Zea mays: one gene and its partner. The protein of the gene in region 2 interacts with the protein of the main gene of each other region in a pairwise test. Links are inferred from orthologs where the notes say so. Each region holds a gene or a part of one and is shown on either strand. Other genes may lie near its edges. The genes, in order: syntaxin 121 and potassium channel KAT4.

Region 1 (3,433 bases), on a different chromosome or scaffold from region 2:
TTCTATGTCACTGTCCTTCAAGGTGTCTAAGTAATTATCAGGATTCAAGAAGTACCTTCTTGAGCGTCAATATAGACCAGTGCAAAACTCAGGAACTACACCCAATTGCAACGGGCTGATGATAATAGGTGCCAGCCAGTCCAGTTTGTGCAAAGATCTGCCCCGGAAGTTCCCTGACTGAATATACTTGGATACGCTCATGGTTCTGCTTCGGTACCGATATATTTACACGTCATTTTGAAGGATGAGTTCTGGTGAGTACATGTATACAATTGTCGCTGGGAACAAAAACTAACGGTAATTGCTGGTGGATTTTTGGCAGACAGAATATACCGATAGAAGTTTTGCTTGTCTAATTGTTGATGGTGGCTAGTAGGAGCATATACTATTCCTGTACATCCTGTTTAACTTGTCGCTGCTAGACGATTTCGCAAATGTAGTATGTAGTGGTAGATGGATCCGATAAATTTTCTGTAATTTTGACGAGGTAATCAGGCAATCGTCTCGAGATTGTTGTTGTATGGGCGACAGTATTTTTTCATTGTTTGTACAATCCTTTTAAAAATCATCGTCTGGCCTTGAGCCTTTATGCCATATGGGTATATGTTGATTCCCCTTTTCAGTTCCTCGTATCGACGTCCAGCTGTCCACATCAGGTGCAAGTGTCTGAGGGGTGCTGTTATTTTTGATATTTTCTTTTCTTTCTGATCGTGATGTCGTCTTTTGGAGATCGTAATCACTACGGAATTGCTATGATATTTTGTGTGATGACGTTGTTTTTGGGAGATCATAATCAATACGGAATTGCTGTGGTGACTTCGAAGAGCTAGTGTATCATGTCGCCCCTTTTGCCTCTGATACGAACACATTTGCACTTCTGTAGGGTGCAGTTGTTTTCGGATATCATAACCACTATGTGACTGCTATGATACTCTGTGTGATGACTCTGAATAACATACCATGTGGGTTCTTTTGATACTAGCCAGATGCACGACGGGCTGACGAGCACGGCGCCTTCTGCTCGATCCAGTGCATGCGCCGGCCCGGCCATTTGGCCAGTACCTTCGCCGAGAACTCCTTGATCCTTGTGTGACGCTGACGCAGCATGTCAGCATGTGGTGTAGTACTTGTACTTCTAACTTCTAAGAGATACTCAAGCGACAGTACGACACTATGCTACAGGGTACCGTATCGCCCTTTTCTCTCTTGTCTCGGTGTTACGAGACAGACAAGTGGATCTGTAGCTGTGCAGTTGGGTTGATCGGGTCAGATCAGCCGGTCAGCATGGATCGGATAGTGCCGGGTGGTTGGTAGTTACGGCTCGTTGGATTTCCAGCGAGGCGACCCGGCGAAAGACCTGGACCCGCGCGCCGAATCCCACCACCCATCGCGTCCCCAAGAACCCTCGCTCGTACGTGTCCGTGCCCCCCTCTGCCCTCTCCTTCGTCCCACCTTCCTCCCGCGTTGCCATTTCAGAGCAAGGTGGCGCGCGCCGCCTCCTCATCACACGGTCTCCTCGCCCGCCACGGCGTCACATCACATGGATGCCTCGGCACGGCCGACTCCTTCAACTCCGCGTCCGTCGTCTTGTTCCATCTCGCATGATTGATTGAATCTCCACGCCCCCCTTGTCCAACTACCCCTCCCACTATTTCATTTCATTTCATCCCCCCGATCCAAGAAACCGGCCACCGGGCCGGAGCGAACCCTTAGAAGCGACCTTGGCCCGTGAGGAAGCCAATCAGCCAGAGACAGAACAATCCATCCACCATGAACAGCCTGTTCTCGAGCTCATGGAAGCGCGACGGCGGGGACATCGAGTCCGGCGGCGTGGAGATGTCTGCGCCGCCGGGCGCCGCGGCGGGCGCGAGCCTGGACAGGTTCTTCGAGGACGTGGAGTCCATCAAGGACGAGCTCCGCGACCTGGAGCGCATCCAGCGGTCGCTCCACGACGCCAACGAGGGGGGAAAGTCGATGCACGACGCGGCGGCCGTGCGCGGCCTCCGCGCGCGGATGGACGCGGACGTGGCCGCGGCGATCAAGAAGGCCAAGGTGGTGAAGCTGCGCCTCGAGTCGCTGGACCGCGCCAACGCCGCCAACCGGTCCGTGCCCGGGTGCGGGCCGGGCTCCTCCACCGACCGCACCCGGACGTCCGTCGTGGCCGGGCTGCGCAAGAAGCTCCGGGACTCGATGGAGTCCTTCTCGTCGCTGCGGTCCCGCGTCGCGGCCGAGTACCGGGACACGGTGGCGCGGCGGTACTTCACGGTCACGGGGGCGCAGCCCGACGAGGCGACCCTGGACGCGCTGGCGGAGTCCGGGGAAGGGGAGCGGTTCCTGCAGCGCGCCATCGCGGAGCAGGGCCAGGGGCGCGGGGAGGTGCTGGGCGTGGTGGCGGAGATCCAGGAGCGGCACGGCGCCGTGGCGGGGCTGGAGCGCAGCCTGCTGGAGCTGCAGCAGGTGTTCAACGACATGGCCGTGCTGGTGGCCGCGCAGGGGGAGCAGCTGGACGACATCGAGGGCAACGTCGGCCGCGCCAGGTCCTTCGTCGACCGCGGACGCGAGCAGCTGCAGGTGGCGCGGAAGCACCAGAAGAGCACCCGCAAGTGGACCTGCATCGCCATCCTCATCCTCCTCGTCATCATCCTCGTCATCGTCCTCCCCATCGTGCTCAAGGGCGTCAATAAGAACTAGGCCGCCTGGCCTGCGTAATTCGTTCTAGTTTTTTTTTTTCGTGGCCTTTGTATCATACATACGGTTCGTTGATACGGTCGTCTTGATTATATTTTCTTCTATTGCCTCAACCTTCGATTACATGGTTTTGTTTATAACACATGATTCATTTTCTTTTGCTGTCGATGTGCCTTGGGGAAAGATGAGCGAGCTTAGGTCGGAACTTGCGGGTCAAAACCTGCTTTTGCGGTGGTTATTGACTTTACTCGTACGCAGCACGCACGCCTGTGACCTGACGCACTCCCGGTCTTCCTCCTAGTCGGGCTCGGGCATATACCGGGCCAGTCGCCAGGGCCGGCTGGTGCGCCAGCGCCTCGCATATACCGGGTCAACAATCTTTTGCTATTCTCAGAGTGCCGAGCCACTTACTCTAAATCTATCCTCTATATCCATTATTTATAGTTTTCTTTAAAAATATCAAAACATACTTTACTTTTATTTTTTACACATACATATTTATAGTACTCTAAAATGTATATATATTTTAGTTTTGCTAAATCTGTTGTTTTAAATATTAAAATAGATAGAGTAGAACAGAGAGAAATTCTCTATATAGAGGATCGAGCAGCGTTCTCTATATTTAGAGAGATATGAGAAAACGGTTTAGATAACACTGCTCGAGATATAATGAGGAGATTCTTCTCTAAAATTTAAAATTTAGAGTATATGACGATTCAGAGGTCTCAGGAGCCCATTGGTTCCG
Region 2 (4,376 bases):
AAACATCAAGAATAGGAAGAGGTGAAACGCTTTGCGCGTGCTTGTACTACTTGAACTGATCAGTCCTACTGCTAGCAACACAACACCAGGTGGTCTCCATCCCTTAGCACGGCAACGTCGTCGACCTCGGCGCCCTCGACGGTGAGCACCCTCCTCGGCGCCTTCCCAAACTTCACCTCGGCTACTTTCATCAGCTCTTGCAGCGAATCCGGAAGGAGGACAAGCTTCCCCGCGGCATGGCCCAGGTTCTTCTCCGCGCCATCGCTGGGAAAGCGATCATGAATGACCACTCGTAGTCCGCCTTGTCGACGCGGCAACATGCAGGGAGCGGTCTCTTCGTGTTGTTCGGTGCCGAAGGTGGCTTTCTGATTCTGCCTTGGAATCATCCTGGCAGCGTCGCCGTCGTTAAGTAGCTGTTGAAAGATGGAGCCGATCTGAAGCTCATCCTGGACAAACAAGACACGTTGTCACACACCAAGTTTCAGACTTCACATTGCAAGTTTCGATTTTTTTAGCCCCACGGTACTTACCATGCTTGTTTTGGAAAATGTCTCCTCGAAAAACGGCGCATCCTCTGCAACCTGCAGTTCCTTGAGAGATTTGAGCTGCTTAACAAAATTGGCGCATACGGTGTTGGCATCTGCGGTGTTGGAACGGAGTATCCCCAGGAGATGGCTGTGGCTGATGCACAAGGCCTGCGTGAGCCTCCTGCTACGGACGGAGAACGGCTGCGGGACGCCCAGAATGACGCCCATTTCCCCTGCCATGCCATGCGGCCCTATCTTCATCACAAGCTGAAAGAGGGCAGCAAACACAGCTGATCAAAAAAGAATCAAGAACGCCACTGCAATTTGACGTTATTGTGTGGTGTTTGAATGGCTTGCCTTCTCTGTTCCATCGTCAGCTGTTGTCAACACGTCCTGAAGCAACAAGCAAGCAGCAGGATCGGCATGAAGAGTGTTGGAGCAAGGATATATAAGGTTGTAGAGAGAAGACAGTGCAGTGCTTACCGCTGAGCCGGAGACGATGATGTAGCAGGCCGTGGAGGTCACCTTCTGGAGGATGATGTCCGCCTGGGGTGGGAAATACTCTGCCCTCATCTCTGAAACCAGCCGCACGACGAGGTCGTCGGAGACTCCCTGAAACAGGTAGCAGCGCTGGACCGCGTCCCTGAAGAGGTGGTGCGCGACCCGGGACCGGAGCGCCGTGGGCAGGTCGGACAGCAGCTGCTGCTGGATCACCTCCGCTGTGCTGAACCTGAGCTGCGCGCTCGCCATCATCTGCTCCCTCAGCTCCGGCGGCAGCCGGTTGACGCTCCCGAACATCGAGACCCGCCGCACCATGTCCCTCTGCGGTCCGCCAGATCGATACAATTAAGGAAGGAAGAAGCATATGCATCAGAAGCTAGCCCACCGCCGGCCGCCTTATGATCGATCGACGATCGACATACCATCTTGAATGTGTTGGTTGCGGCGTGGACGACGAGGTTGGTGGTGTTGCCGATGATGTAGGAGGTGAGGCCGATGTTGAAGAGCATGTAGCAGGTGGCGAACACCATCTCGCCGGGGTTCACGGCGTGCAGGTCGCCGTACCCGACGGTGGCGAGCGTGGTGATGGACCAGTACACGGCGTAGGTGTAGTTGACCCAGACGCTGCCGTCCGCGAAGTCGCGCACCTGGCTGCCGAGCCAGGTGTGCTCCCTGTCGCCGTGGTGGAACGCCATCCACAGGAAGATGCACGCCGAGGAGTGCAGCGCCAGCAACGTCACCTGCATGGAAACAAGAGCGCCGGCCAGAGACATTAAACTCTGTGTAAACGAAACACGATGGCACGATGCCAATAATGCCATGATATATTAGTAGCCGCAGTACTCACGCCGCATAGCTTGATGAGCCTGGTGTAGAAATAGTCGAATCGTATGTCCTTCTCCAACCTGCAGGAACATGAAGGAGTATAACTGCACGCATATGCATGGAGATCGAGCGAGGCATGCATGGCGTGGCGCGCGTACGTACCTCGCAAAGAGCTTGCTGACGCGCTGCAGTCTCCACAGGCGGAGAAGGTTGAGGTACCTGAACCACCCAGTGCTCCTGCCGCTCACCAGCTGGTAGATCACGTTGAACGGGATCGTCGAGGCCACGTCCATCGCGAACGACGGCCGCTTGAGGTACCTGATGACGCGATCTTTATATTTTGTGTACAGATTGTCGGGCGGCGGCGTGCGTAAGATTATTGACGATATGGCCGATCAGCTAACTAGTTACCTGGTGGCGATCTTCCTGCGGTCGTCGACGAAGAGATTGGCGGATCTGTCGAAGTAGGCGACGAAGAAGGAGACGGCGATGTCGGCGGCGAAGAACGCGTCCATGACCAGGCTCGCGACGACAACCGGCGTGGTGGCCGCCCTGTCGAGGGCCAGCTCGAACGGCGACGACCACGCCGAGTAGAGCACCGGACCGATCAGGAAACTCTGCCACCACCTGATACAGATACAGATATTCCCACCCCGGCGGCAGGCGTCAGCGCACCCTGTAATTATATATGCGTGCGTGCGTGCGCAGCAGCGCAACCGGCCAAGCGTCGTCGGCCGCACCTGTAGCGGCAGTCGTAAGGGTTGATGGTGTTGCTGTTACCGCCGGTAGGGGAGAGCTCGCCGAACGCCGGGAGGAGGTCGCCGGAAACGCCGCCGCCGCGGCGGCCGATGCTCGGCAGCGCCCAGCTCCCCGCCTGATCTGCCCCTGGCGTCCTTGCCATGCCGCCTGCGGCCTAGCTGCCGCTGGTTGGAAGCAAAAGCTAGCTGCCCTCGCCGTGACCTGAACGGTGGGGTGTTTATATAGTACCAGTAGCTATCTATCTATCTAGTTCTATCGGGCGCGATGGACGATGGACGCTGCATGAAGATAAAAGCAATGCAACGGTGCCGCATTTCGATCTGCCTGTCCGACTCCGACCCTCCAAATAATTCAGCTATTTTAAGACGCGCGGCGATAATATTTGTTTGTGACAATGATTGGATTAGCCCTAGCGCTAGTAGCGGTTTATCCAGATAACTTGTCTTGTCCTAGGCTTGACCAGCGCCTTCTAATGCATCTATATATATATTGTTGCAGATGAAGATCGAGATCCATCCAAGAATCTACAGCGCTCTTCCGCTAGCTCCTCGAGAAGACACCGAAACTAGCTAGCTCTAATCTGCATTAGTCACGCGTACGCTAATATACATACTATACATACCTGTGCAGCCTGCAGGGGCGGCGCTACACGTACGTACGGGACGACGCTGCCAATCGATGCGGGAAGCGGGAGCTGGACGACGAAGGAGACGGCGGCGTCACGTACGGCGAGATTGAGCGAGTGCCTAGAGCCCAAGTTAATACACGTTATTAACAGGAGAACCCCGATCGTTTATTTGGAAGCAGCCGACCAAGTCAGATTCCTTCCCGTTTCTTTGCAGGACAGGGTAATATTACGCGCGGCGCTTGCATCGGGATGCAGTTCGATTCACTCCGGATTCCAAATATTCACTTCCCCGGGAGTTAATACCTGATATCCTTCATCTTTGATTCGACTCTTTGTTTCCCTTTTTGTTTTGTCAGAGAAAGCAGATATTTATTACCTTGGAATCGCTCCAATCGTAACTAGCCAGACTTGACTTGTTATCCACTCCCTATATATATATATATATATATATATATATATATATATATATATATATATATATATATATATATATATATATATATATATATAGTCCTAAAATATGCTATCTAAGTAATTATAGAATATACTCCTATTTAGCATATGAATCAAAGGATGTATATAACCCTTCCTAATTACCATATTCAGGCGATGGTAGTGAATCTTGCCTTTTTTAGTGTTTTTACCCTATAGTTTGCTACAAATGTTGAATTCTGGAGCTTTTATATTTTAGTACAGAGAGAGTAACTCTAGTTGAACCGATTACATCCTAGCTCAATAATGATGATATATTCGATGTCATGTCATCATTAGTAGCCTTCCAGTTCTTTGTTCTATAAGACACCACAACTTGGAGTAGACAAGTATTTGATGCTTGACCGAACCACCCTAAAATCAATGTGTCTTTTGTCCTTGTTTCTTTGTGATTAATCTTCCCCTATACAAGTTCTATCTTTCATTATCTCTTGTCCTAGTTTTTTATTGGCGTGTTTGGTTGTCCGCGGGTGCTCAGCTAGGTTGTCTGTGTGCATTGACCAAGCACCAGCTTGTGTTTGGTAGCGTGAATACGGAGGGCGTGGATTGCATCCGCGGGTGCAGAACAGGCTTAAAAAGACCCTTTAGCTGCATGCGTGGAGAAGCTCAGGTTTGCCGTATCTGACGGGCCAGACTTGCGTGAG

Evidence for each region.
Region 1: the proteins of potassium channel KAT4 (region 2) and syntaxin 121 interact in a two-hybrid assay, tested with the Arabidopsis thaliana proteins (2 studies listed by BioGRID, with this or other methods). The link is inferred for Zea mays from reciprocal best matches to the Arabidopsis thaliana genes KAT3 and SYP121.

Annotation. Positions count from the first base shown.
Region 1 is NC_050096.1:292,574,225-292,577,657, forward strand, and holds syntaxin 121, read left to right. Parts: upstream 1-1,451; 5' UTR 1,452-1,770; coding exon 1,771-2,691; 3' UTR 2,692-2,824; downstream 2,825-3,433. Other genes in the region: trafficking protein particle complex subunit 8, read left to right, coding at 1-30. UniProt on the Arabidopsis thaliana protein: Vesicle trafficking protein that functions in the secretory pathway. Together with SYP61, regulates the post-Golgi trafficking of the aquaporin PIP2-7 to the plasma membrane, thus modulating cell membrane water permeability.
Region 2 is NC_050103.1:159,226,023-159,230,398, forward strand, and holds the start of potassium channel KAT4, read right to left. Parts: upstream 2,867-4,376; 5' UTR 2,755-2,866; coding exon 2,594-2,754; intron 2,481-2,593; coding exon 2,265-2,480; intron 2,172-2,264; coding exon 2,016-2,171; intron 1,934-2,015; coding exon 1,876-1,933; intron 1,769-1,875; coding exon 1,451-1,768; intron 1,350-1,450; coding exon 1,011-1,349; intron 921-1,010; coding exon 885-920; intron 795-884; coding exon 531-794; intron 447-530; coding exon 72-446; 3' UTR 1-71. UniProt on the Arabidopsis thaliana protein: Probable modulatory (alpha) subunit of inward-rectifying potassium channels. Could mediate potassium uptake from the soil solution by plant roots in association with AKT1.